Linked DNA regions of Canis lupus familiaris. The protein of the gene in region 1 interacts with the protein of each later gene in a pairwise test. Links are inferred from orthologs where the notes say so. Each region holds a gene or a part of one and is shown in the gene's direction. Other genes may lie near its edges.

Region 1 (6,298 bases):
CTGTTCAGTCCTCTCTACCTTTTGGGGTAGAGAAGCTTAGGGCATGAGAGCCTAGGTATGAACTGGCAAAAACAAGGCTGGTTGAGGGAGATTTCTCTGGCAGGTTCAGAGCCCACAGCCCACCTAAGCAAGCTGTATAGACCTTGTCTTAACCCAGTGTCCCAGTGTCCCACAAGCAAACAGTCCACTTACATCCTCACTTGATACACTCTGAACACCCTTGAAGAAATCAATCTCAGATGTAGTTTTAAAAACTAATTTTTATTATGAGAATTTCCAAATATAAACAAAAGTGTGGACTATAATGATCCCCCACAGGTACATTATCCAGCTTCAGTAACTATCAACATTCTGCTTGTCTTATCTCTTCTTTTTTTCGCTAGAACCTTGTAAAGCACATCCCAGACAGGTCATTTGCCTCCATCGCTATGCGATTCAGAAAAGGCATGTTTTTAATGTAATTACAATGCAGTTATCACATCCAATAAAATTAACAATACGTCCTTATCTGGTACAGATTGAAATTTTCCCAGTTATCCAAAAATGTCTTTTTATGTTTCGGTTTGTTCAAATCAGAATCCAAACAAGGTGTACTTTTTTACTATGTTGTTCCATTAGAAATAGGTAATTTTAAAACCAAATCAGATTGGTGTCTGTAAGCCTGCCTACGAACAAGTAAACAGATCCAGTTCCACTAGGAATCAGCTGTTCTTCCCATGTGTGTTCTTGGTATGGGGCTCGGCATTTGGCAAGCAGCCCCTGAGCTTGCCTTGAGGCAGCAGTTAAGGGGCCTCCACTGCGTTCTCTTTTTTGGAACAGAGCATCACATTAACCAAAATCCTTGCTTCCTAACACATTCTGATTATTGGTCCATGCAAGACCCTCCTTCCTATTTACACATATGCCGCAAAACCATTTTCTAGCACAAAAACTGGAACACCGACAATAATGTCTGCCTCTGTGGTCTTCCCACTCTCACTCCCTTGGCTCCCTCAGCCCAAAGTAACCATTCTCCCACACTGTTTTCTGTTCATTTTGTTTTATTTTGTTAAGATTTTATTTATTCCTGAGAGACGGGGGGGGGGGGGGGGGGGGGGGGGGGGGGTGGGCAGAGACATAGGCAGAGGGAGAAGCAGGCTTCTTGTGGGGAGCCCGATGTGGGACTCGATCCCGAGTCCTGGGATCATGACCTGAGTCAAAGGCAGGTGCTCAAATCCTGAGCCACCCAGGTGCGGTTTTTTTTTTGTCCTTTTAATATTTAGTTTTATATCTATATGTATATTCCCTCAAAATATGTTTTTCTTCTACCCAGTTGTTTCAAGCATTATAAAACAAAGCATATCAGGCTGTATGTAACCTGAGTGTTCCTTTTAATCAGAATCCCATTGCCTGGAGCCGCCTTAAGTTGAACGGATGAAGTGCAGTCGTTTTAGCGGCCATGTAATGACCCACCATATTGATAAGCCACAGCAAATTCATCCATAGCTCTAGCCATTCTCATTTCCTTCCTACATTTTGGGGCACGGGCGGCAGGCACAGAGTCCTGGGGTCTGTCTTGCAGGTGAGGTGGGAAGTGAAGTTTTATTCTTGAATAGCCTGCCGTTTGTGTCCCAGGTACAATGTTGTTTTCAAGTACTTACTGAGCGTGCGCCGGGTGCAGGCCGAGCTGCAGCACTGCTGGGCCCTACAGATGCAGCGCAAGCACCTCAAGTCCAACCAGACTGACGCAGTCAAGTGGCGCCTGAGAAATCACATGGCATTCTTGGTGGATAATCTTCAGTACTATCTCCAGGTCTGGGTCAGGGGATGAATGGGAGGAAGGGGTAGGGAAAAAAAGTCTGGGACATGAGCAGGATTTACCAAAGAGGAACTGCAGTCCTGCATTGGACGAGATGTTGGGGGTTGAGAAAATGCAGGTTAGATCGTTGGGAGGGGTTTCTTGGCGGCATTTTAAAGGAAAGTGGGAATAAATGAAGGAGAATGAGCTTAGGGTTCTTGTCAGCAATGCTGATTCGATCCTTAGTTTTAGTTGGCTAGGCCGTCTGGAATCTGTAGGACTTAACCAGGTTAGTCAGTGGAGGCGATATGGCGTGAAGTGGGGGATCTGCCAGAACTTTGGGGTTATGAGGCATTAGGCAGAGAACTTGCTACAAGGCAAGGTAATATGGCCTCTGCGCGGCTTTAAAGTGGCTCCAAGAATTTCTTTCATACTGTATTTCATCTTAATGTCCTTGAGTGCTTAGAATATGCCAGGTACTGAAAGCATCTGTTCACTGCCCATCAGGTAGATGTGCTGGAGTCTCAGTTCTCACAGCTGCTGCATCAGATCAATTCTACCCGTGACTTTGAAAGCATCCGATTGGCTCATGACCACTTCCTTAGCAATCTGCTGGCTCAGTCCTTTATCCTGTTGAAACCTGTAAGTAGGGCTCTGGGCTTCCTCAGACTGCTTCCACCCTGACTGTTCCCTTAGGTCCCGAGTTGCCAGGATACGGAACTATCATTCAACAGTTGTTCAATCTCCATTTTTAAACCTTTCTGACAACTTAAAGCAAAACTATAAGGGACTGTTAAAAGGGAACTTAAATGTCTTTGAGTTTCTGAAATACTATATCCTCAGGATGTGGTGCGCAGCTATAGAAGAAAGAATATGTGCTTAGCCCTCAAAGGGAAGAATTTAAAGAATTTTAAATAAAACTTTTCTGACACCACAGAAGGGCTAATGAAAAGCACATAGTGCTTACTTTCTTAGAAATCTTTTGGATCAGGATTGACCAGTTGAGAGTTGTTTTCACAGACAAGTGAATAGTGTCTCCCTTTGTGTACATATGTACCTCTCCTTTAGGGTAGTTACTCTCAGCCTTGCCTACACATGGGAATCACCTAGAAGCTTCAAAAAATCTGGGGCCCCGAGCACTTATATTAGAATCTCCGGAGTGAAACCCAGGCACCTGTGTTTTTTTAAAGCTCACAAATACATGAAAATTCTCAAATAAAAAGTGGGAAGGTTGAAATGACCCCTCACAGTTACGTAGATTCCGCTTCATCCCTGATGTCAGCCAGCTGTCATCCCTCAGTCCTGCCACAGCACAAACACTAGACTTCTCTTGTTCGTATTCGGAGCTATTTTTGCTGCACTCAGTAAGGGAGAGCAGGTTACACAGATGCCACTCCAAGGGCTGTTTGTGTGAATGGACAACACCAAAAGCCGCTGTGACAGGCCAACTACCCTCGTGTGGCATGAGTACACCCTTGGGAAAAGCAGAAGATCAGAGCAGGTGGTGACCATTAAATATTTATTGAGTGCTTACTTTATGCAAGGCACTGGGGATACAAAGAGGTATAAGTCATGGCTCTGCCCTTAAGGAGCTCACAATCTAGTTGGAGAAACAGAACATACATACATACACAGACTAGTAACAACACAGGTGGCCTGAACAGATGCCAAGAGAACAGTACAGATAATAGAGAAGCAGGGGGGTCACTAGAGGCTACAGGGGGGAAGGGAGTGCCCCACCAAGAGAACTTGAACTGGCATTAAGGAGAGTAACTCTGAGCAAAGCTCAGGGCTGGAGCACATGTGGGTCCAAGAGACGATGCCTAATTTGATGTGGCTAGAATGGAAGTTTTGTGCAGGGGTTACTAGCAGAATAGTAGCATCTTTGCCAGAAAGCGAAGAGTTGGTGTTACACGTGTTGTATTTCGAGGAGCCCACAGGACTGACTCATACGTGACAGTCTCTCCTGAGGTCAAAGAATGGGAATAAAGTAACTCTCAGACTGTTTTCCCAGATCTCTAATCTCATAGATTTATCTTCCTTCTTTTCCTAATACCAACTATTTCCTGGGTAGGTGTTTCACTGCCTGAATGAAATCCTAGATCTCTGTCACAGCTTTTGCTCGCTGGTCAGTCAGAACCTGGGCCCACTGGATGAACGTGGGGCTGCCCAGCTGAGCATCCTGGTCAAGGTGAGTCTGCCTGGCTGTTGGCAGTATGCAGCCCTGTCCAAAGGGTAGAGGTTTGTTTTGCCAATGGGGAGTCATGATCTTTCCCTCTGGGTCAATAAAGCATTTCCCCAATACATATATACACACAGAAATAAGAAGATACAAAGATAAAAATGTTGGCATCAGTTCATTTTGAAGCAGATAGTTATGTGCCATCTCAGCATTTGAAAATAGTTTGGCCGTGAATAGTTTCTTCAGCCCACAAACATGCATTGGTTTTGTTCTCACAACCTCCTATCCAACCTCCTTCCTTGAACGAACTCCGTTTCGCTGGGATTGTAATTATCTGACTCTAACAAAAATGCGCAGGCTCTCCCCAGCCCCAGTAATCAACAGAATAGATGCTAACTTCCTCCTGAGAATGGGAGTGTACTTTCACTCAAAGCCACGCCATCCGTGGACTCAGTACTAAGACGACCTTTTAGGAGCTAATAGAAGCGAGGCTGTGGGAAGGCCAGCTGGTGCTGGAGAATTTTGAGCAAGTTTTTTAAGGAACCCCCTCCCCTCCCCCCCCCCAGCCTCACTCCACATGGACAGTTGGTTGAGTCTGAGAGGAATAGGAATGACAGCCTGAGTCCTTCTCTCTGCAGGGCTTTAGCCGCCAGTCTTCACTACTATTCAAGATTCTCTCCAGTGTTCGGAACCATCAGATCAACTCAGATTTGGCTCAACTGCTCTTACGGCTAGATTATAACAAATACTACACCCAGGCTGGCGGAACTCTGGGCAGGTAGGAACAAGCCTTAGGGAAGTGTGGGGACTCCATGAATGTGGCTGTTTAACAAGTTGTAATTCCAGAGCTGAGACATCAGCCACTGTCTCATCCAAGTAGCTCATTTTATAAGCAAGGAAACTAAGGCTTAGAGACATGAAGGGCTATGTCTGATCAGCTCTCTTAATTCAAAGGAAGCTTATTTTCTAGTAAAAGCCATCATCATAGTAAAATACTAAAACTCCTGATGCTGAGATGGGTTTTTAGTTCTCAGCTGGGCTGGAAGAAAGAACTGAGCAGTAGTTGGTTCCCAGTTCTGACATTAACCAGCTGTGCAGCCTCAGGCACCCTTGCCTCACTGGCCCCCCAGCTTCTGCATTTGGGAAAGGTGATCGCCCCTTCTAATTCTTAGCTTTTTAATCCAGTAGATTCAGCGGTGGTTGGCTTTTCTCAGAGGTCTGTCCTATTTTTTAAAAAGCACTTTATTGTTCTTTCTGTCTCCTAATTGTCCTCAAGCAGATTTTTCCTAAGCGACTTTAGTGGAAGAGTCAAAGAAACTTAAGAGTTTTAGAAGATGACACTACGTAGATCACAGGTTGCCCTGATTCCTATTTCTTTGAAGAAAATCTTGGGAAAGCATATTTGATAAGGCTCTTTTTTTGTTGTTGTTTTCTAGTTTTGGGATGTGAAAATACCTGGTTCACAAACCAACAGTCTCTCACCGTGTTCCCAAATCTGTGACAGAAGATTTAAAACATCCTACTCTTCAGCCACTCAACAAATGCTTGCAGCCTACTGAGTGAGGGTCCTACTTTTTCCTCCTAGAAGCTACTACTGCTGAACATTCATGGGTACAGATCCTTCCCACGTGGAAGGGTCTACCCTACCTTAGAGTTCTTAACTCCCCTACCATAGAGGATATGTAGTGCCAGCTCCCTCTCCACTGACCTTGCAAGATCCATTACACTGAGAACATCTGTTGGACACACCCATTTATTGAGCACCTACTATATGCCTAGGTATTGCTCAAGCTGGTGGTAAAAGGGCAATTTTAGCTATTGATAATGTACTTAAAGCAGTAGTATTTTAACAAAGAAAAAGGGTCCTTAAGAAAAAAGCTGAGGTCAAATTCTTAGATTTCAGATATTGAAAACTGCAGGTCTAATTATCCCCTCTTGGAAGAACCAAAGGAGTTGGAGTTCCCTTAATCTGGCCCAACCATTACTGTAATTATTAGTGTTCATACTGGTCTGAATCAAAATAAATATTCATTGTACAAACAACTCCCTTTGTACTGAAAAAGAATGAAGCATTCCGGCCTCAGTATAGCCAGTGAATCTGGTCCTCCATCTGTCCTATTTCCTGCCCTTTTGTGCTAAAGGTGACCCCCCTCCATTGCTGTCTGTGGAGAAGTGAGATTATGGCCCACCACCTGTTTTTGTAACTTTTTATTTTCTGGATCCCAGCCACATTCATCTGTTTACCTCTTATCTATGGTTGTCTTCATGCTGTCATGGCGAAGGGGAGTATTTGTGACACATCAAATGGTCCAGAAAGCCTAAGATATTTACTAATTGGT
Region 2 (7,281 bases), on another chromosome or scaffold:
CTGGGGTACTGGTGGAATTTAGGGACCTCTATCCGTCTTAGCAGCCGAGAGGTGTTACCTAATTTCTGCGGCAGCCCTCGTGCTTAGCCTCATTCCTTGGGCGCCCCCAGGAGGGTCCTGACCTCACTGCCGCCCACCCATTCTTTCTTTCCAGGCGCAGCAAGCACACAGTGGTGGCCTATAAAGATGCCATCTATGTATTTGGTGGAGACAATGGGTGAGTGAGTATGCATCAGGGTGTTAGAACCGGGGGAGGGAGAAACATGGTGGCACTTCTCCTTCACTGTAGTTCTCTTTGGACTTTATCCACATGCTCACATGGCAGCATTTAGAGGGCACAGTTTTTTGTTTGTTTTGTTTTTAAATTCCCATATTTTCCACCTTTTTGCAAAGGTGTTCCCACATTGCCATAAATTCCTGGGAAACAACTTTCCTGATGTTTTGTTGGTGGACACACTTCTATCCCATGAACTATTCCCACTTAAGTGGTGGCTGGTCTCCTTTGGTTAAAGATAATGGCTGAGGTAAACCTTTGGTTTGTGTGACTGCTTCCTTCTGGTGGTGTTCCCCTAAGACCCATTCCCAGAGGGAAAGAGCTCTTATCACAGGCTGGGCCATGTTAAGTATGGGGCGTGGGCATAGCAGACATGCTTGGAGAGAAGGGGTCTGGTCTGGGCAGAGAAGCCTTCCTGGAGGGGTTGATGACCTGAAAGATAAGTTAGAGTGAGTCAGGTAAAAGAGAGTGTTCCAGGCAGAAGGACCAGCATGGGCAATGGCCCGGAGGTTGGGGGATGCAGAATGGCACCAGGCCTAGAGTCTGGACAGGGCTTCCCTCCCGCATTCATTCGTTGATGTGGTTCAGGAAAGGCCAGGGATGCCCACCAGGGCTCTGGGAGGCTTGGGAGCCTGCTAGACGTGGGGCTGAAGCTTGAAGCTTGATCCGGATAGACCGAGCTCAGTTCAAATTAGAGCTTTGTGACTGGGCTCCGGGTGGTGGCTTAAATCTCCTCCTCTGTATAGGGGGTGCCTGCATGCTCTGCTTTTGCAGTGTGCTCCTCAGGGTCAGTGAGCACAAAGCTGGGAAGGGCTCAAGACAGAGGTCTGGCTGTCCTGCAGATGCAGTGTTTGCACATGACCGATTTCTGCCCATGAGTCCATCCCTGCCTCTCAACCACAGGACGTGGCCTGAGGTCCAAAAAGGGCTGGCCTCTGATCGGTTCTGCAGCCTTGGTCTTTCAGGACTCCCTGGGGGTGAGGGAGCTGACTTGGAGGTGTTGGGGTACACAGGACCCCACAAGGACCTGCAGACCAACAGTGTGGTCTCCTTGGGCATGGCCTCTGGCCTCCAGCCTGTCTCCCCAATAGCTTCTTTCCCCATGAGCAGCCAGAGGGACCCATTTGAAGATGCAAGTCTCAGTGTGTTCCTCCTCAGCACATAGCCCTGGGGACTCCCCTCCGTCTGAGTACAAGCCCAAGCTGTCCTGGCAGCCGACCCTTTACGCTTGCGCCCGCCCTGATTTTCTGCCTTTGTTTTGCACGGCACTGGGCTACACCCCTGTCTTGCTGTGTTCTGAGTGAACCAAACATCTCCTGCTCAGGCCCTGGTACTGGCTGTTCCCTCCTTCCCGCCCTTCCTGCCTCTCTTCTGAATATACTGTGAGTGAGGCCCTCCCGGCCACCTGGACCAGCTGTTGGCCCTCCCCTCCCCTTCTGCACCTCTTGCCGGCCCCATGGTAAGAGCACCGATCCCACAGATACCCTCAGAGTTCTCTCAGAACACACAGATGTTTATGTGTCTCCTCCATGAGGGGGGGACCTGTACCTGCCACACAGACAATTCAATAAATGTGTGTCACGTGAAAGAATGAAATGGGAAGAGGCATCTGCCCACAGATGCTCCCTGCTGCCTTAATGACAATCCCCCCACCCCAAACCAGGCAAGGCCTGGTGTCCAGCCCAGAGCAGGAAGTGGGAACATCCCTCCCAGAGTTCTGTAGCAGGTAGAGTTGGCATGGCAACTGTGTAGCAACCAGCAGAAATAATTTGCTACAATGTGGCATCAAGAAACAGGGTACAGATTTGTCTCACCCTGGTTGCAATTTTGTAGAGATCCACTGGGTGCAGAGAAAGACCCCTTCCTGCAGCGTCTGGGAGGGGGGAGGAAAGGAGGGGGGAAGGAGCAGATGGGAGAAGGGAGAAATTATGGTCACATCTCGGCTTCCCAGCTCCTGGCTGCATGGCTGCATGGCCTTCGGCAGGCCCTTTATGTCCCGGGCCCCTTCCTCTTCTGCAAAGCAGGTGGAGCCCCTGGTGCAGACTGAGGGAAGGGTAGAGGGCGGTGCCCTGTATAGGCCTGGCATGCAGGGGGTGCTGGGCTCCTGTTGGCTGACTCCCTTCTTCCTTCTTACTGACTGACAAGGGCTGAGTGGAAACATGCAGGTCCTGCTAGGTTGTCACTGGACTTGTTTTCCATTTGATTGTATCTTTAATGTGGTTACATTGGCTTTGCAACAGGGAGGTGGAAGGAAGATCAGAGAGGAGGAAAGGGCCTCCCCTGAGATCTGGGAAGCTCTGCATTTTGGTAGCACAACCTCAGGAAAGGAGGCTCTGAGATGTGGGAGTGGGAGTTGGGGTTCTGGAGCCTGCCTTGGTGTGAGTCCTCAGGGCTACCTGCTGGGTGGCCAGGGTCATGCTTTGGACCCGACTGCAGGCAGGCCAGTCCCACGTACCTTGCAGCCCCGGTACCAGCACCATCTGGGGAGCTTCCTCTGTGGTCACCTCTCTGGGCCTTCGGGCATCAGCTGGCTGCCTGGCCCTGGCCAAGTCCCCACAACGGTCCCCACCCCTGGGCTGCAGTGTCCGATCGGCCCAGGACCGACCCCACCTGTCCCTGGCTGTCTTTCAGGAAGACCATGCTCAATGACCTCCTGCGGTTCGACGTGAAGGACTGCTCCTGGTGCAGGTAGGTGGCCTCGGAGCCCTAAGCACCTTCTTCCCCCTAGAAACCGGTAGCACTGTGCCAGGCCCCAATCACCAGCGGAGTCATGCTGGGGAAAGCTAGAAAGAAGCTTCGAGGAGGAGATAACAGTGGCCCTTAGCGTTCCTCTCTCTCTCCTGGGTTCCTTCTCCAGTCCCAACTCCGATTATTCTGAATCCTGTTAATTACAGGCATCTGTTTCATTGGTTGCAAGTCCTCAAATTCTGCCTGCGGAGAGCCCTTCCATCACTAGGCCTGTCTCCTGGGCCAGGGGCTGCTATGGGAGGTGACACAGGGTGGGGGGGCGTCAGCTTGTGGGTCCTTCCAGGACCGACCCTGTGTTGCTGTAGGATGCTGCCCAGGGGCTGACAGCACTGGCTCTCCTCCCCTCCGTGCCCCTGTGGGGCCCATCCTCTGCTTGGAGACCCCACATGGGTAGTGGGCAACAGGCAAGCCCTGGCCGCCTCCCGCAGATGGCCCTCCCAGCTGTGTGGCCTTGGCCAAGACACCTGCCCTCTCTGCTCATGGCATACGTGTACCCATCGGCTCCAGTCTGCAGCCTGCCCAGGGGGCAGCTCTCAGCTGAGGGGGAGAAAAGGGATCTCAGGATTAGGAGACACTGGGCTTCCTCCTGAGCTCTCCCATCTGCTCGTGCAGGAGTACAGACCCATCCAGCCACCTGGCTGCCACACTCTGCACAGGAGCTCTGGTGTAGCCCTCAGTCCCCCGAGTCCCCTCTGTGGTGGGGTCTCACCGCCCCTCTTTGGTGAAGGAGGACATCCAGGCCCAGGACCCACACCCTCCAAGCCTGGCAAACCAGGGTGGCATCATTGTGCACCACCCACCTTCTGCTCAGGAGACCTCCGTAGCTCTGGGATCACGAGAGAAGTTTTGTGTTGTTCGTCTCATCCTGGGTTTCATAACATAGCCCATAGTTATGGATCAGTTTTAAAAATCACCCTACAAACTGTACAATCCTTTACTAATGATTGCTTAAGGATAAAACTCTGAAAAGGAGCAGCCCCAGGAAAGCAGTATAAAGGGGTTTTTAACTCACTAAGTCAAGTGTGTGGCTGACCCCTGCGGATGGAAGCCAGTGCCGTGAAAGGACACTGGCCGTGAAAGGACAAGGATAGCTGATCCCGGAGTAGCCGGAAGACCTACTGTTTAGTTCAAAAAGCAGGTGTCATAAGATGCCTACCACATGACTCCACTTAGAAAATTACTCAGAGACATAAATACGCATAGGAAAGGTGTGTGGAGGGGTGACCTAAAGGTATAGATGGTGGTTTCTGGCAAAGGGATTATATGGAAGTCTCAGTGCTGGTTTTGTGTTTTTTCCTTATCAGCAACTTTTGTTAAAAGTTTCTATAATGAGGGGGCGCCTGGGTGGCTCAGTCGGTTAGCGTCCGACTCTTGGTCTCAGCTCAGGTCTTGATCTCAGGGTCATGAGTTCCAGCCCCATGTTAGGCTCCACGCTGGGCCCACATGGAGCCTACTAAAACAAAACAAAACAAAACAAAACAAAACAAAACAACCCATAAAATAAAGGTTTAAAAAAAACCTTTTCTTTTTTTAAGTTTCTCTAATGAGATAAGTATTGCCTACTAGATGCAAATATAAAAGGAATCCTGGGCGGGGGCGGGCTGCCCGGTGTGGCGTGGACCGCACAGCTGAGCCCCGCTGACACCCGCTGCCCCGTTTCCCCCCACCAGGGCCTTCACCACTGGCACCCCACCAGCCCCCCGCTACCACCACTCGGCCGTTGTCTACGGAAGCAGCATGTTTGTCTTTGGTGAGCTGCCTCTCCTCCTGGGTGCCGTGCCCTCTTCGGGGCTCCAGCTCCCCTGTCCCGCCACCAGGCCTGGGGCTCCTGTGCTGTGCATGGCCAGCCTCTGTCCCGCCTTGTCCTCTGTCGGAGTCCTCTGAGTTCCTGCACTGGGCTGGGGGCCCCTCAAGGGCCTCGTTCCCTCATTGTCCCGATCTCATGGGGTGACTGCTCGGGAAGGTGGCTCTCCTCCCTCCTCTGTCACTCTGCCAGGGGCAGGGGTCTGTTCATTTCTGTGTCCGAGCCTAGCACAGAGTCAGGCACGCGGTAGGTGCTCCCTGAGGCTTAGGGAGGGAGTCCCAGAGTACATCTTAAGTGAGGCTGGATTCTTCTCCCCCTGCCTTTGGGTGTGATGGTTTCTCGCTCTCTCTACCCAGGGGGCTACACTGGGGACATTTATTCCAATTCTAACCTGAAGAATAAAAACGACCTTTTTGAATATAAGTTTGCAACTGGCCAATGGACGGAGTGGAAAATTGAAGGACGGTGAGAGACTTTGCTGAAACCTTTGGGGGCTGTCCCGATGGCTACGGCGCTGGGTCCCTGGTGGCAGCTGGCCTGCGATCTGGGCCCTGTAGCTTTACAGGAGAGCCCGAGGCTCAGGAGGCTTGAGTCGTGCTCATTCCCAGCTGTGACTGTCTGAGGCCCCCTCCCTGCTCTTGGATTCCCTGCTCTCAGAGAGCAGAGGAGCCCCGGTGCACTGATGGGCCCTTCTCTGGTCCTGTTTTGCCAGGACCCTCCCCCACCCCGACTCTGATATTTCTGTGTTGGCTGGGAGAGGCCTTTACCCTGGGGACATGGGACATCTGAATTCCTCATCCCACTGCCCCGCCTCATGAACCCAGCCTCATGACCCCCAGCTGGCATCCCCAGAGCCCTGGTGTTGGCAGATGTAGGCATGGCAACCCTGGGGTCCCGGCCCGCCGCTTGGGGTTGTGAAGCTCGGGTCTGTGCTGGGTGGCCTCACTCCTCACCCCCTCCCCATGCTGCAGGTTGCCAGTCGCTAGGTCTGCCCACGGCGCCACGGTGTACAGCGACAAGCTGTGGATCTTTGCTGGCTATGACGGCAATGCCAGGTAGGTGGTGCCTGTGCACCGGCCTCTGGGCAGCCCTGTACGTGTACCGAGGGGGGCCTTCCTGGCATGGGAAGGCTCAGGCTGGGGGTTTCTCAGGAGGGTAATGTGGACAGGAGTGAGGGGAGGGTGGGATGGAGGTGGAGGGGAGCTGAGTGGAGCTCCCACCCAACCCCACAGCCCTGAGGCCCCTCCTGGGGGCATCCGAGGGGGCGGCAAGCCTGGCCCATTTTTGTGCCGCTCAGAGTGTGCTGGTCTCCACGGCAATAGGTGGCCTAGCTGGTGTCAGAGCTGGGGGAGGGGGGTGTGCGTCTGAACTGCCCAGGTGAAAATACTCGAGCTCAAGGTGAGCAGGTGGTGGCAGCAGCAGGGCTCAGACCCGGCCCCTCCTCTCTGGATGACAACATGGGGTTCCTGCCTACGTAGCAGGGACTGGATCTACCTCCTTCCTTTTTTTTTATTATTATTATTTATTTATTTATTCATGAGAGACTGAGAGAGAGAGAGAGAGAGAGAGAGAGAGAGAGGGAGGCAGAGAGAGAAGCAGGCTCCATGCAGGGAGCTGAACGCGGGACTCGATCCCGAGAGAGAGAGAGAGAGAGAGAGAGAGAGAGGGAGGCAGAGAGAGAAGCAGGCTCCATGCAGGGAGCTGAACGCGGGACTCGATCCCGGGTCCCCAGGACCACGCCCCGGGCCGAAGGCAGGCGCTAAACCACTGAGCCACTCAGGGACCCCCTATCTATAGAAAATTGGCTTCGCTGCATTTTTCTGGTTACAAAAGTAGCATGTGCTCATTCCCTGAGATCTCAGCATTATAGAAACTCCAAGGGGTGGGGCGCCTGGCTGGTTCAGGTCTTGGAGCTGTGAGTTTGAGCTAAGTGTTGGATATAGAGATTACAAAAAAAAAAAAAGAAAAAAAAAAAAGAAGAAGAAGCAGCAGCTCCAAGAGGTGGCAATGTTAGTGGTGGTTTCTGGGAGCTTTGCCTCTGAAGTCCTCTCTAAGCCCCAGGGGTGAGCCGAGTGAGACTGACCCTGCCACACTGGTGAGACATTGTGAATGATGGTGTGTGTTCCCTGGGTGGGGAGCTGGGGGGCCACATAGCAAGGGTTCAGTGCAGCCCCTACCCTGAAGCTCCCACCTCATGGCTGCTCCCCAGGCCCCTGATCAGAGTCCTGCATGATGTGTCGTTCCCTGGAGCCGTCCCTCCTGGCTGGGCCTAGCCCACCCTGCCACCATTCCCAGCTGTGGAGATCCTGACACTCGTCCCTCCATGCCCCCCCCCCCCCCCCCCATCCTAATGCAGGTTGAATGACATGTGGACCATTGGCCTCCAAGACCGGGAGCTCACATGCTGGGAGGAGGTGAGGGGCACAGGGAGAGGCGATGGGGGGCAGGGGAGGCC
Region 3 (7,890 bases), on another chromosome or scaffold:
CTTTTTTTTTTTTTAAGATTTTATCTATTTATTCATGAGATACAGAGAGAGAGAGAGAGAGAGAGAGAGAGGCAGAGGGAGAAGCAGGCTCCATGCAGGGAGCCCGACGTGGGACTCGATCCCGGGTCTCCAGGATCATGCCCTGGGCTGAAGGTGGCGCTAAACCACTGAGCCACCCAGGCTGCCCTTTTTTTTTTTTTTTTTTTTTGCCAGGCCAGCTTCTTTTACCCATTTGGTACAATTGGGCCTCGGCGGCCTGGAAAGTGTATGACATGGAGTCCAAATGCAATTTGGGAGGATTCCTCTCCTGTGTCTGAGGCTCCATCCTTCCTCCCCACGCTGTTTCCTCGCCCTGGGGACAGCTGGGGGTGAGGATGGTGAAATGAAGCTTAATGAGTAACCTATGAGACTGGCCAGGGTGAGTGTTTGGCCACCATAAGCGTCAGGGACAGGGACTGGCTGACGAACATAGCTCTGGGATCTGGGACGGGATGGGTCAGTGACCTGGGCCACCTCTCCAGTCTTATCTGCTCTCTGATGGAGACATCCTGGCATCCCCACCTCAGGCTCTTCCAAGTCAGGTGCTCTGGAGCTTGGCCCCTCCACTTCTGAGCTCTGGCTCCGCCACTGCGATGGGACCTTGGGAAAGTGACTTGGCCTTTCTGAGCTAAGTCTGATTCCCCAAAAGAGGGTTTGTTACAACATACATCTCTCCAAGGTGTTGCAAGCATTCTGTGATATGATGATGTCATGTTCCCAAACTTCGAACATTCATTGCCACCTTTGCAATTTCTACCATATTGTGGTGTCACCTCTTATAAATACACTAATACCAACAATAGCATCGAACACAGAGCACTTTCCACTGTTCTAAATATTTTATATATATTAACTCATTTGATCCTCACAAATGAGTTGCCCACTAGAGAAGTTGTAGTCTATCCACATCTTACAGTTGAGGAAACAAGGCACAGAGAGGTTAAGAGATTTACCCAAGTTTACCCAGCGGGTAAGTGGCAGAGCTGTGTTTTGTGCCAGACCCCGGCTCCATGGTCTGTGCTCTGTGAGGCACCCTGCTCCTTCATCCAGAAACTAGTGCCACTGCTATGGCTACTACTGAATATTAAAAACAAAAAACAATGGATTGCATTTTAAGCATCGATTCCTGCCTTGGCTTCTTCCAAAACAAGAATATCTGTGAAATCATGGATTTGGTATTGTGTACAGGTGACCCTTGAACCATATGGAAGTTAAGGGTGCTGTCCCACCTCATGAAGTCAAAAATCTGTGGATAACTTCTGACTCCTTCAAAACTTAACTACTAAAAGCCTATTGTTGACCAGAAAGTTTACCAATAACAGGAAGTTGATTAACGTGCATTTTGTGGGCTCTATGCATTTTATACTGAATTCTTATAATCAAGTAAGATAGAGGAAATACTAAGAAAATCATAAGGAAAATATATTTAAAAATACATTTACAGTAAAAATACATTTACAGTCCTGTGTTGTAAAAAATCCACATATAAATGGAATTGCGCCATTCAAATCCGTGTTGTTCAAGGGCTGTCATGTTTCTTGTCCAAGTCTAAGCTGTGTGCTAAGGCCCCACTCCTCCAGGAATCCCCCTGATTCCACCCCAACCCAGGTGCCCTATGACGATCTTCTGCTCTCTGTCTTCCTGGGGGTGGTAAAATTGTCACTGCATTGGATGGTTTCCTCTCCCCCTAATCCAGGGGCCACCCCAGGACACAAACTCGGTTTTGCCCCTTTGTCCCCAGGGCCCAGTCCAGGACAGGACGCTTGACAAGGATGGGTACATGTTTAATGGGAGGATGGTGATGAAGCTTCCAGAGTCCTCATCGAGGATCATGGCCAAGCAACTCGACTTGACCTCAAGCATCCAGGAGTTAATCATCAAGCCTGGGAAGGTCACACACAGTCCTAGAAGGGCAAAGAACATCTCAGCTGCCAGGTCTTTCCTGGAACTCACCTCCCATTTTGTAGAGAGGAAACGTGAGGCTCAGAGATGGATGTGACAAGCTCAGTTTCACCCAGTGAGATGGTGACAGTATAAATCTGATCATGTTATTCCTCTGCCTACAGCCTTCTATGGTTCCTTAGTATTCCTGGGTAAGGTCCAGGAATGGCACAGGCGTCCCTGCAGAGTCTGGTTCTGGCCCATATTCCCAGCCCCAAACCTGCTTTCCCAGCGTCCTGGCGTCAGGTAAGTGTAAGTTACCTGCTCTGAGTGTCCACAGCCCTGTCCCACCTCTGCCTGACAATATCTGAGAGCACCGATTACAACTGCTCTTTGGTGGCCCCTTGGGACTTCATGAGAGCAGGGGACATGCTATATTGTTTGAGGCTAAAGTCCCAGGGCTCAACACATAGTAGGTGTTCAATAAATATTTGTTGAATGAATGAATAATCAGAGCCCTTCATTTGAACGATAAATCATTGTTTGGGTTCCTTTGTTGGATGTAAAATATCAGGGGTGAGGAGGTGCTTCAGAAAAATTAGGCCTTTTCATGTGGCAGATAACAATTGTTTCTTTGTCTTTTGACCTAAGCTGACCCTGACAGCAGTGGGGGTGGTGGCCTGGCACTCAGCGCAAACACTGGACTCAGAGTAAAATCTGGATGTGTCTGTGTCACAGAAGAGGTGGTCCAGGGTGTCTCTCGCTGGCTGGGTGACCTCGGCCCAGTGAGTCTCCCTGCTGGAGCCTGTATCATCAATGAGACCAAGGACAGTGCAGGGGGAGGCAGTGGACCTTGGTCTTGTTCCTTTCTTCCTCCAGCGGGGCGCTGTCCCTTTAACGTGGGAGGAGGGGCCAAGGCTGCGGGAAGTTGCCAGAAGCTGGGAAGAGCTGGTGCCCTCGCAGGCTGCAGGCTGGTGGGCAGCAGGCTGGAGCCGGGCTGGGTCTGGGCACTGTTCAGCAGGCAGGTAAGAGGGCCTGACACCCAAATGGTACCGCTGGGGCTCTGTGTGCGTTTGTGGAATGTGAACACAGGGTAGTCTGGAAGGTTCTGGGGCAAGGTCCAGAATGAGTGGACAGAAAGTGAGGAGGTATGGGTGCAAAGCCCCCCTAAGAACACTGATTTCACTCAGGGTTTCACTCTAGCCTGCCTTGGAGAAGAAGGCTGGGGGTGCCACAGACTCTGATGGCTGGGGAGCAGGTCCTGCTTGCCAGAGGGGCAGGGCTGGGCACTCTGCCAGCGCGAGTTTCCTGGCCTTGGCATCAGGGATTTGGCTGTAAGGGTTACCCAGGTGGCCTCTGGAAAAGCCTGAGGGACAAAGGAGGCAGAAACAGGAAATGGTCCTTACCCCAATTCACAGATGCATTAGGTGAAGCCCAGTGAGGAAAGGTGGCATGGCCAAGGTCGTGCCTGCTGGGACCTGAACCCAGGCCTCAGGCTTTTCACGGCATTGCTCCACAGCAGAGAGGGCCCAGGGCTCCCACCTCAGCACCCGTGGTGGCCACATGCTGCAAGAGCTGTGTGTCCCTAGGCCAAGGTCTCACCTTGACTCTAGACCTTAGTCTGGGAGGCCTGTGCCCTTATGGGCATCTGGGCTTGATAAGGGCTATTGGAAGTTTGGGGCCTGTTCATTTGACAGGGCTGCTGTCCTCCTGTGGGCTGTTAGGATAAGCAGGAGGCCTGGGGAGCCTTGGGACTGAGCTGGGAGCATTTGGCTCCTAAGGACACCTGGCAGTTAAGTATGAAATGCTCACGCCTTTCACCACTACCACCACCACCGTCATTATCATCACCTAGTAGAGAAAGTATGGCACGGTGCTACGGGCACAGATGCCAAAGTCCACTGCCTGAATTTGAATCCTGGCCGTGCCATTCCCAGCTGTGTCACCTCGGACAGGTTACTTAACCTCTCTGGGCCTCAGTTTCATTATCTATAAAATGGAGCTAGTAAGTGAACCTGTCTCAGGACCGTTACGATGATCTTATGAGATGGTATATGTGCCAATGATCTCGTCATAGAGCCTGGCTGGCAGGAGGTCCCACACACTGTTAGCTAATATTATATGTCAGGCATGGAGCTGAAGGCTTCACAATATGGCCTCACTGCGTCCACAGTGATTCTGTGATGTAGAAGCTCTTCTCCTAGTTTGCCGCGTGGTTAGTTCATTCTTATTTTTCAGGTCTCGGTGTTAATGGTCACTTCCTGCAAATAGGCCTTTCGTGACCTCTCTATCCACAGTAGGTGTCCTTGTTCTTCTCTTTAAGACTCCCTGTATGTGTGCGTTCCTCTTGGTAGTTTTCACCATTTTTGATTATTTTGTTTGTCTATATGGTTATTTATCAAACACTGATCTCCACATCAGCTCCGTGAGGGGATGTCCGTCTTCCTCAACAGGGTAACCCCAGTTCCCAGGTCAGGGCCTGCGCCTCGCAGGTGCCCTGTAGACATGCGAGAGAAGGGGTAAGCACGCCCGCATAGTTAGATGGCCCCAGAGAGATGATGCCTCTAGAGCGCTCAGCTGATGGCTGACGTAGAGTAGGGCAGGAGGGAACATGACACAGAGAAATCGAGATGCTAGTTGGGGTCACACAGCGAGGAATACAGAGCTGGTTTCTAACTTTGGTCACTGATTGACCCCTACGCCCGGAGCCAAGGTGAGGCCCAGGCTGAGGTCTGCTGAGTTTGGGTGACCCACAGGTTCCCTCTCCGATGCCATGTTCAGTTTGAGAAGTGCCCTGATGGAACCGGGTGGAGACTCTGGCTCAGACTCTGCCCTGCCTGGGGGATCCCAGGGCCATCCCAACAAGGGCCTGGGGTCAAATCTAGGGGCAGGAGACCTAGAACCCTCTGGTGGGGTGGGCAGCTGGGAGTAGGTAAGGGTGAGCAGGAAGCTTGGGCCCGTGGAGGATGGGGAGGCTGCAGCACGCCTCCTACTGGCCATCAGTGAAACTGCAGGGCTTGGCCCAATGCTTTTCTGACCCAAAGGAAAAAAAAGGGGTTGCATTTGCTCCTTAAAAAAAAAGAAAAAAAGACAAACAGCCCTCTATTTCTCCACTCTTCTCATTTCTTCCTCTTCTGTTTCTCACCTTTTACCACCGATTCGTTCACTAACTGTGCCTTTGCTTAAAACCTCCCGATGGCTTCCCAGGACAAGTAGAATTAGAATAACATCCCAGCTCCTCAGCGTGGCACGTCCTTCCCCAAGTCCCTGCCCACCTCTCCTTGCTCAGCTCCTACACCAGATCCCTTCTCCCCACACCAGCAACGCCCCAGGGTCATTTCTCTCTCAAGGTGTTTCCACCTGCTGTTCCTTCTGCAGGAATGCGTTCCCCTGGGCTCCCTGCTGTCACTCATCTCGAACATCTCTCTTGGAGAACTTGCAGATGGAAAGAGAATTCAAAGCCCTCTCTGCCAACCCAATACTCACAGATCTGATTTGCATCCTGATTCAAACTGTTAGAAACCCCAAATCACTGACAGCAAAACCAACTGTTTATCCCATTTAATGAGATGATTGGAAAGGTGAGCAATTATGTGACGATATTGAGAGATGATTATTAATGTTTTTAGATGTGATAATGGTATTGTGATGATGTGGTTTTTTTTAATTAGCGTCATTGAGATATGGTTTCTATAAAATAAAATTAGCCAGGGATGCCTGAGTGACTAAGTCAGTTAAATATCTAACTCTTGGTTTCGGCTCAGGTCATGATCTCAGGGTTGTGAGATGGAGGCCCCCATTGGGCTCCATGCTGGACATGGAGTCTGCTTAAGATTCTCTCTCTCCCTCCCTCTGCCTCAGCTTCTCCTCCACTTGCTCCCTCTCAAAAAAAAAATAAGTCCACTTTGAGTAAGAATTCCGTGAGTTTGCACAAATGTATACAGTTATGAATCCATATGGCTACTGTTTAAAAAAAGTTCTTAAGGGACGCCTGGGTGGTTCAGCAGTTGAATGTCTGCCTTTGGCTCAGGGTGTGATCCCGGGATCCGGGATCGAGTCTCACATCCGGCTCCCTGCATGGAGCCTGCTTCTCCCTCTGCCTGTGACTCTGCTTCTCTCTCTCTGTGTCTCCCATGAATAAATAAATAAAATCCTTAAAATAAAGAAATAAACCTAGTTTTACAAAAAGAGTTCTTTGCTTTTAGAGATCTGTGCTGAAGTATTTACAAAGGAAGTAGTATAGGAAAAAATATATAATAAGAATAAAGGATAAGGGGCACCTGAGTGGCTCAGTTTGTTAAGTGTCTGCCTTTTTAGCTCAGGCCAAGATCCCTGCGTTCCCATATCTAGCCCTGCCACATCAAGCTCCTTGCTCAGTGGGCAATCTGCTTCTCCCTTTCCCTCTGCTCCTTCCCCTACTCATTTTTTCTCTCTTGCTCCCTCTCTTTCTCCCTTGCTCTCCCAAATAAATAAAAAATCTTGGGTAGCCCGGGTGGCTTGGGTTTAGCGCCGCCTTCAGCCCAGGGCCCGATCCTGGAGTCCTGGGTTCAAGTCCGAAGTCGGGCTCCCTGCATGGAGCCTGCTTCTCCCTCTGCCTGTGTCTCTGCCTCTCTCTCTCTCTCTCTCTCTCTCTCTCTCTGTGTGTGTCTCTCATGAATAAATAAATAAAATCTTTTAAAAAAATCTTAAAAAAATAAAGGAGGAAAAACCCCATAGCACAGGGTGGGGGTGTGTGTGTGCAGGTGTGGTTGAAACAAGACAGGCCACGAGTGCTCGCTCAAGCTGAGAGATGGGCTACACCAGGGGTTCATTATACAGTTCTCGACATTTTGCTATGTTTAAATTCTCCATAATACAAGTTTTAAAAAAGTTTTTCTCTCTTGAGAGACTGTTTCTGACCATGCTTGCTGAAATACTGCCTCCCACCCCCATTGCCCGTTTGAAATTTTGTGCTTCTGTCTCCCCTACTAGAATGTGAGCTCTGGCAAAGCAGGGGCTGCCTCTGACATGTGCGCTCCAAAATCTGGAACCTCCTGGCACATAGTAGGTGCTCAATGAAAAGAGGTGTTTTTTTTTTTTTTTTTGCATGCATACCTGAATGAATGAAGAATGAATGAATGAATGAATTCTCCCACCATCATTCATTCATCACCATGTATTGGCCACCTTCTACACCCCCAGCACTGTGGGCTGGCACAGTTACAGAATGAAAGGGTCCCTGGTCCAAACCTTTTTGTCCAGGTGGGGAAACAGGCCGTGGCAGCTGGATAGGGCTAAGGAGCCTAATGGAGGCTCTTCTCCACGTTCCCCTCCTCCTGGTTAAGGGGACTTTGGCTGGAGCTGCCTGGGCTATGGCATTGGTGTTCTCCTGCAGGCCCCCTGGGGGTTGCTGGGATGGATCACTCTCGAACAGGCTGTGCTAAGGCTGAGCACTTCCACGTGGTCACGCCTCTGCTGGAGAGCTGGGCACTTTCCCAGGTGGCAGGTGTGACTGTCTTCCTCAAGTGCGAGAATGTGCAGCCGGCCGGCTCCTTCAAGATCCGGGGCATTGGGCATTTCTGCCAGGAGGTGAGGTGTCAGCAGGAGGGGAGAAGTGAGCCAGTTCTTGGGGGAGGAGAGGGATGGGGATGGTTGCCGGCTGGATGGGGGTGAGGGCAGGAGGGGAGAAGTGGACTCATACAGATGGGAGGAGCAGGATGAGGGGCAAGGAGTGTTGGAGTGGGCTGGGGAGGGACTAACTCCATCCCACACTGGCTCTATGACATCTGCCTGGGTCAGCCCCCAACCTCATTCCTTCTTTCCCCAGGTGGCCAAGAAGGGATGCAGACACCTGGTGTGTTCCTCAGGTGAGCCTTGGGGCTGGGTCCTCAGGGCTGAATGTAGGGGAGGAAGAGATGGCTGGAGCAGCAGTAGATGTCCAGGGATCAGCCTCCTGTTAAAGGCCCAGTTCCATCAAGGTCATGATTAGAT
Region 4 (7,281 bases), on another chromosome or scaffold:
TTCTGAAGATGATATAATTTTCTGAAGATGGTACAATATTCTGAAGATGATTTTAATTTTCTGAATAAAAATGCCACAGGACAAGTGATCGAAATGCCAGTTTAATATGAGCTGAGGACTCTTTCTTCTGTTATCACAGTTATCCACATAGCCCCAAAGATGGTGGAACCTTAACATACTCCGATCATCTGTGCCTCCATCAATTGAGTAAGTGATGAGCTGGTAACACCTCTTTTTTTGGCCATCTGAGTCCGTCTATTATTTCCTCCTGGACTTAGCTCATGATTCTCCTCTTACTGAAAACTTATCAGGATTTTTAGTCTGTTCTTCTCTCATCTTTTCTTTATAAACTTCACGTTTTAACTTGCCTTTATCAACGAGTTGTATTTAGTGCTCTTCAAGCATTTCAGATTTACAAATGTGTGTCCACTGGAATGGAGTGCCTACATTGGTATGTTTCAAAACTGCTACATAATCCCTCCCTCCGTCAGCCTCTACAATTCCTGGAGGCGACTGGAGGGGTATCACTAGATATCAAACGATAGTATCTTTTTTATAAATTGGAGACTAGGTAATGGAAAAAAAGGATGAAACTAAATCACATAGCAAATGTGGCTAAAATTAAGACCAGAACTATTAGCACCACTTAATACTATTTTCTTAAAAATCTGTACAAAACATGGGGTGCCTGGGTGTCTCAGGTGAGCATCCGACTCTTGATTTCGGCTCAGGTCATGATGTCATGTCATGGGATCAAGCCCATGTTGGACTTCCCACTCATCAGGAAGTCTGCTTAGGATTCTCTCTCTCTTTTTCCCTTTTCCCCTCACCCCCTCTCATGCTTTCTCTCTCTCTCTCTCTCTCTCTCTCTCTCTCTGCCCTTCTCTTTCTCTCTTTTTTCTTGTTCTTTCTCAAATAAGTCTTTTTAAAAAATTTGTACAAAGCATTATTTTTTTTTAAATATTTTATTTATTTATTTAGGATAGTCACAGAGAGAGAGAGAGAGGCAGAGACACAGGCAGAGGGAGAAGCAGGCTCCATGCACCGGGAGCCTGACGTGGGATTCGATCCCGGGTCTCCAGGATCGCGCCCTGGGCCAAAGGCAGGCGCCAAACCGCTGCGCCACCCAGGGATCCCCTGTACAAAGCATTATTGAAGAGAGGAGGCCAGCTGCTAAATACACAGAAAGTAACAGTACCTATGTCTAAGAGCTTGAAGAGTACCTGAGCAAATAGGGAAATGGTAAGTAGGTAAGAGGCAACTGAAATGCAGTAGGAAGCTTCTCAGACAGACTTGAGGATGAGTTACTAGCACTCATACTTAGTGAATCAAAAGATGTCCATTCCTTCCTTTCCTCTCCCCAGTTCTTACTTGTCCCTGTCCAAGGTATTGTTTCTCCCAAGTTCATCTGTTGGGATGGGCATGGATATTGTTGCCCTGAGAAGAGGTCCTGAGGTATATATGATAGGTGATTCTTTTTCTCTCGAGAGGATGCTCACACAGAACATCACCTATCTGGACAATCAATCCATTTATACCCCTCCCACACACATAATCATCACACTCCATATACTGGAATACTATTCAGTGATTTTTAAAGAAGAATGGCGGCAAATAGGCTATTAATTCACAGAACAACCTAGATTAAGCTCAAATGCATTATCTAAATGAAAGAAGCCAGACCAAAAGGCTCTGGACTGTTTGATTCCATTCCTAGGTTATTTGGAAAAGGCAGAACTATACGGATAGAAAACAGATCAGCAGTATATCAGAGGTTTGGAGAAGAGGCAGTATCCGACCAGGGAAAGCCCAGGAGAGGGCAAGTATAGACCTAATCTGTATGGCCCTGTAATGGTGAATATATGATGCTTTGTATTTGTCAATACCCATAGAATTTTCCAGCACAAAGAGTAATTTTTTAAGCCAACCAAATCAGAGGATCCCAGGATGGAATACAAACTGTGACAGAAGAATTTAACTATTACACATGTGTGAGATAATCTCATAGAAGGGGGTGGGGGTGGGGAGTGGACACTAACCTAAGTAACTTTTTAAAACAGGGCTTTCTTTGAATGGAAACTGTAAGCCCTAAGTCCAAAACACCATACTAAACACTGTACTCTAGCTGGCAATGTGGTTTGCCATGGTGATGTGGGGTAATAATTCTAAAACTGCTATATTTGTAACCTCAGATTGAATAACCAAAATAAGGGCAGATGGAGGGATCCAGGTTTTTCACCATTTTTTTCACCAACAAATACAGGGAAAGCTAGAATGAACCATGTGAGACTGGATTAGATTCAGAGACAATAGTACAAATTCGTGTTTAGCTTCATATAGGAACAGATGGATAGATATATTTACAGATGTGTGTGCATACTAAGGGAAGTGTATGTACATGTATTGCCTGGCTCTGTTCGCTGAGGGGCTCTATTCACTGGAAGCAGTGACACCCCAGTAACAGTGAGCATACCCGGCATCCAGATATTAGTTTCTAATTTTAGCTTCTAATATCATTAGCCAGTTAAAGGAACCAGGCCCCTTGGAGACATGGTTGATTTTAGGGCAAGGGCAGGGAATTTACAAGATGAACCTGGAGTCTCTTGTAGTGTTAAAAAGTAAGGACGGGCTTAAAAAATAAGAGGATGGAGGCTTATGAAAGGGACAGAGCAGCCAGTATGAAAGGACTCTCAGTAACTAAAGCTAGAACAAACAGAGAAACAAAACAAAAACATAGTTTGGGATTATAATCCAAAGTATGAAATAAACACCCATGATTCTACCCATACTGACACAACTAAATGACTGAAGAAGTAAATAGAATATGCAAGTCTCCTGTGCAGAAGAATTCTGTATACTCTATGTAGGTGCCCCCTCTCATGGAAGTAGAATGGTCTTCTAAGGATACAGTTTGGAAAGCAACAAAGGAAGGGGAGTGTAACTTTGTAGTGCGGAAACCTGGTAAGCACAACCTGGGTCAGGTGACCAAAGTCAGCATCATCAGTAATAAGCCACTGATGATGATAGGCATGCTGGATATGATGGGATAAAATTGGTACCTTAATCTGTGATCTGCCCCTGCCCCCAAACCAATAACCTCAGTTTAACCATGAGAAAAACATCAGACATTCCCAGTTGAGGGACATTCTGCTCCTTAAAACTATTAATGTCATCCAAAACAAGGAAAGTCTGAGAAATTATCACAGACCAGAGGAGATTAAGGAGACATGAAAAATAAGTATGAGGTATCCTGGATGGAACCCAGGAACACTGGGGGGGGGGGGACAATGAAATTAACATAAACTGTGAAGTTTAGTTAATAGCAGCGCAAGATATTGACAAGACAGTAAGGGATAGATCAGAGCTCTATATATTCTCCTTGCAATCCATTAATCTAAAACCATTCCAAAATTAAAAGTTTATTTAAAAGAAAGGGTTATAGGCCAAAAGTCTAAGTCCAGGACTGATTGGATGGAAAAAAACAAAACCTTGTCTTTCATCATAGATACTTCGGGAACTACTGATGTATAAAGCATATGCTCTAGGACAATTTTGACTTGTTCCTCTAGTTTGAAATCCTCTATTATACTGAGATGGTTTTGAACTCCTTTGCTACTTGCTCAAATGTATTTTTCTCTTAAAATCCTGGAAGTATGAAGTCACAACACTTTGTTCTTTGTTCTTTTATCCACCCCCATCATATTTTGCTGCAAACCTTGTCATTGTCAAGGCACAGCTGACTGGCTTTGTAAGTGGTTTGTGATTTCTTTCCGTTCCTAGTATTCCAGTGTTATTAGGTTCGTTAAAGGGAACATTTGGGCTTGGCAGCTTGTGTCACTAAGATTCAAGTATAACCACATCAATTACTAAGCCATCCAAACGTCAGCGATGATGATACGAAAGTGTGGCTCTAGCAAGCATTATAGTTAGACGCTTAATGAGAATATCATATGTGATCACGAATAAAATCTCACAAGTAATCTTCATGCTGTTCCTTACTTACAGTTCAGAAAGTGCCTCTTCCAGAAAATCTGATAACTTCAGTTTTCATAAGTATTTCATAAAAGGGTAAAAAAAAAAGTGTGTGCCCATTTCTGGGAATGTTAATATTCAAGTTACCGTGTTTACTGGCTTTGCAAATAATCTGGATAAGGAATATAAAAGTAATAAATATGCTTTTTCTAACCAGTTGTAGACTTAAAATTATAATCAGCTTATTGTTAGATGGTTAGGGTTTATTATTTAAGGAGGGGAAGGAGTGAGGCGGAGGTTTCACTTACCTGGTAAATAAGACAGTGATTGCTTGTATAGTCTTCTAAATGGCTTTTGATGTTTAATTGATCTCTCTGTTGAGATAGGTAAAAGAAATTTTGCAATTTTCAATTATGTAATATTTAGCTCATTTCACCACTGAAATCAGTCAACAGGTTTTTTGTTTTTGTTTTTGTTTTTGTTTTTTTTAATCATTACTTTTTAGAGTATGTTCCTAGGGTCTTTTCTCCTTGTGGTTGAAATTAGATGGAGTTGGGGTGGGATTCCAACATCAACTTGAGAGCATGAAATGTTTTCTTTAAATGGCATTCCTTTTACTATTCCCAGACAATCGTTAGAGGAAATAAACCGTGCAAGGAAACCTCCATCAACGGCCTGCTGGAGGACTTTGACAACATCTCCGTGACTCGCTCCAACTCCCTACGGAAGGAAAGTCCGCCCACCCCAGACCAGGGGGCCTCCAGCCACGGTCAAGGCCATCGTGAAGAAAATGGCTTTATCACCTTCTCACAGTATTCCAGCGAATCCGATACCACTGCTGACTACACAACTGAGAAGTATCGAGAAAAGAGTCTCTATGGTGATGATCTGGATCCATTTTATAAGGGCAGCCATGTGGCCAAGCAAAATGGGCATGTCATGAAGACAAAACATGGGGAGGCCCACTATCCTGAGATGAAGCCTTGGAAATCTGATCTTGCCAGATTTCCCCTTGATTATCACACCCACTTGGACTCCCTGAGCAAACCAAGTGAATACAGCGACCTCAAGTGGGAGTACCAGAGAGCCTCAAGCAGCTCCCCTCTAGATTATCCGTTCCAATTCACGCCTTCTAGAACTGCGGGGACCAGTGGGTGCTCCAAGGAGAGTCTGGTGTTCAGCGAAAGTGAGTGGGGACCCAGCCTGGATGACTATGATAGGAGGCCAAAGTCGTCCTACCTGAATCAGACCAGCCCTCAGCCTACCATGCGGCAGAGGTCCAGATCAGGCTCGGGGCTCCAGGAACCCATGATGCCCTTCGGAGCAAGTGCATTTAAAACCCACCCCCAAGGACACTCATACAACTCCTACACCTACCCTCGCTTGTCCGAGCCCACAATGTGCATTCCAAAGGTAATGTTCACTGCCTCCTTCCCTCCCATGGGCAGGCACCTCACAAAGGTGGTGCTAGCATGACCTTCTCACAGAGTCAGATTCTAAGGTGAAGGTTTGCCTTTTAAGTGAGAATCCATATTGAAACGCTACCTGATTTCCACGCACAAGCCCCAAGGGCAGAGGATATAGAGCAAGGAACATATATTCATTAAAATCAAAGTCTTTGGAGATCTCCTCGAGGGTTTCTGATTAAAAGGCAAAAAAAAAAAAAAAAGTTTATTTGAAAGATATCCTGATATACTACTAATAAATATTGTGTGCTCCTATTAGACTAAGTCCTCTTTTAAGGAGCATACGATTATAAACCATTAGATGGCTAATATTGTAGTTCCCACTTTCTGGCAAAGTTTATAAGGATCTGTTGAAAAGGAAAAAATAAAGTCAGGATTATCATGGTAAGTTTTTAATAAAGTTCATTTTTAAAAATTTAATAATTTTCTAATTATTAATTTTTTTAATTTTATAATTTTTAATAAATTTTAATTTAATAACCATTCTAACAGGTATGGGGTTGTATCTCATTGTGGTTTTGATTTTCCCTGATGTTGAGTCATGTCTAGAACCTTTCCATGTACCTGTTGACCATTTGTATATCATCTTTAGAAAAATGTATATTCAGGTTCTTTGTCCAAATTTTGATTGGGTTATTTGGGATTTTTTTTTTTTTTTGCTATTGAGTTGTATGAGTTCCTTATATATATTTTTAACCCCTTATCAGATATGTGGTTTGCAGATGTTCTCTCCCATCCCATCAGTGTCTTTTCATTTTGCTAATGTTTTCCTTCATTGTGCAGAAGCTTTTTATTTTGATGTAGTCCCACTTTATTTTTGTTATTATTGCCTTTCAGTGTCAAATACAAAAAAGTCACTGCCAAGACCAATGCCAAGGAACTTACCAATATTTTTCTTCTAGGAATTTTATGGCTTCAAGTCTTACATTCAAATCTTTAATGCATTTTGAATTAATTTTTGTGTATGGTATAAGACAAGGGTTCGGTTTCATTCTTTTACACCTGCCTGTCCAATTTTCACAGCACCATATATTGAAGACTGTCCTTTCCTCATTTGTATATTCTTGGCTGTTTTGTAAAAAATTAACTGAATCTATATATATATATTTCTGGTCTGTGATCTGTTCTATTGATCTGTGAACCTGCTTTTTTTCCAGTACCATACTATATGTTGACCACTATAGCTTTGTAATATAGTTTGAAATTAGGAATCTTTGTTCTTCTTTATCAGGATTGCTTTGGCTATTTAGGGTCATATATGATATTTTATATGTGATATATTTGAACACTTATGGTCAGAAGCTCTTTAGGTCAAGATCACAAAGTTCCGTCCAGAGGCAATAATGTTGCAGCCCTGGAGCCATACTTGGCTTCTCGACCCGTTGAGTCCACCAAGTAGTCATTTTCAACTTCTGAAAAATCAAAATATTTCACTTAAAATCTTCAACTTCTGGGTTTTAGGATTCTCTTTAAAAAAATGGGATGATCTGGGCAGCCCTGGTGGCCCAGCAGTTTGGCGCTGCCTTCAGCCAGGGTGTGATCCTGGAGACCCGGGATCGAGTCCCACGTCAGGATCCCTGCATGAAGCCTTCTCCCTACCTGTGTCTCTGCCTCTCTGTCTGTCTGTCATGAATAAATAAAAATAAAATCTTAAAAAAAAGGGATGATCTGATAACCCTAGGCCCACATTTTCACACAGCATTGGAAATGGAATTGGCTGGAGACAAAGGCTGCCCCATTAGAGGGGATAGGCCCTGCCCAGGCCACTTCATTCATTCTGCCCATTAGCCTAATCCCTAGAGGCATTTGAGGATTTAATATAACTCCCCAGGAACCCCTGCCC

What was found.
Region 2: the proteins of TUBGCP4 (region 1) and LZTR1 interact in binary tests that used the Homo sapiens proteins (3 or more experiments, as listed by UniProt). The link is inferred for Canis lupus familiaris from reciprocal best matches to the Homo sapiens genes TUBGCP4 and LZTR1.
Region 3: the proteins of TUBGCP4 (region 1) and SDSL interact in a two-hybrid assay, tested with the Homo sapiens proteins (2 studies listed by BioGRID and IntAct). The two-hybrid records come from large-scale screens. The link is inferred for Canis lupus familiaris from reciprocal best matches to the Homo sapiens genes TUBGCP4 and SDSL.
Region 4: the proteins of TUBGCP4 (region 1) and PAK5 interact in a two-hybrid assay, tested with the Homo sapiens proteins (2 studies listed by BioGRID and IntAct). The two-hybrid records come from large-scale screens. The link is inferred for Canis lupus familiaris from reciprocal best matches to the Homo sapiens genes TUBGCP4 and PAK5.

The regions. Positions count from the first base shown.
Region 1 is NC_049251.1:10,550,234-10,556,531, forward strand, and holds the end of TUBGCP4 (gamma-tubulin complex component 4), read left to right. Parts: intron 1-1,614; coding exon 1,615-1,792; intron 1,793-2,284; coding exon 2,285-2,419; intron 2,420-3,851; coding exon 3,852-3,968; intron 3,969-4,597; coding exon 4,598-4,737; intron 4,738-5,395; coding exon 5,396-5,408; 3' UTR 5,409-6,002; downstream 6,003-6,298. UniProt on the Homo sapiens protein: Component of the gamma-tubulin ring complex (gTuRC) which mediates microtubule nucleation.
Region 2 is NC_049247.1:30,678,964-30,686,244, reverse strand, and holds part of LZTR1 (leucine-zipper-like transcriptional regulator 1), read left to right. Parts: intron 1-154; coding exon 155-217; intron 218-2,905; coding exon 2,906-2,962; intron 2,963-4,692; coding exon 4,693-4,772; intron 4,773-5,182; coding exon 5,183-5,291; intron 5,292-5,797; coding exon 5,798-5,881; intron 5,882-7,182; coding exon 7,183-7,240; intron 7,241-7,281. UniProt on the Homo sapiens protein: Substrate-specific adapter of a BCR (BTB-CUL3-RBX1) E3 ubiquitin-protein ligase complex that mediates ubiquitination of Ras (K-Ras/KRAS, N-Ras/NRAS and H-Ras/HRAS).
Region 3 is NC_049247.1:11,072,984-11,080,873, forward strand, and holds the start of SDSL (serine dehydratase-like), read left to right. Parts: upstream 1-2,799; 5' UTR 2,800-2,945; intron 2,946-4,158; exon of another isoform or gene 4,159-4,216; intron 4,217-5,298; 5' UTR 5,299-5,489; coding exon 5,490-5,501; intron 5,502-6,891; coding exon 6,892-6,967; intron 6,968-7,294; coding exon 7,295-7,488; intron 7,489-7,726; coding exon 7,727-7,766; intron 7,767-7,890. UniProt on the Homo sapiens protein: Catalyzes the pyridoxal-phosphate-dependent dehydrative deamination of L-threonine and L-serine to ammonia and alpha-ketobutyrate and pyruvate, respectively. Also exhibits racemase activity towards L-glutamate and D-glutamate.
Region 4 is NC_049245.1:13,085,659-13,092,939, forward strand, and holds part of PAK5 (serine/threonine-protein kinase PAK 5), read left to right. Parts: intron 1-997; exon of another isoform or gene 998-1,239; coding exon of another isoform or gene 1,240-1,242; intron 1,243-4,599; coding exon 4,600-5,385; intron 5,386-7,281.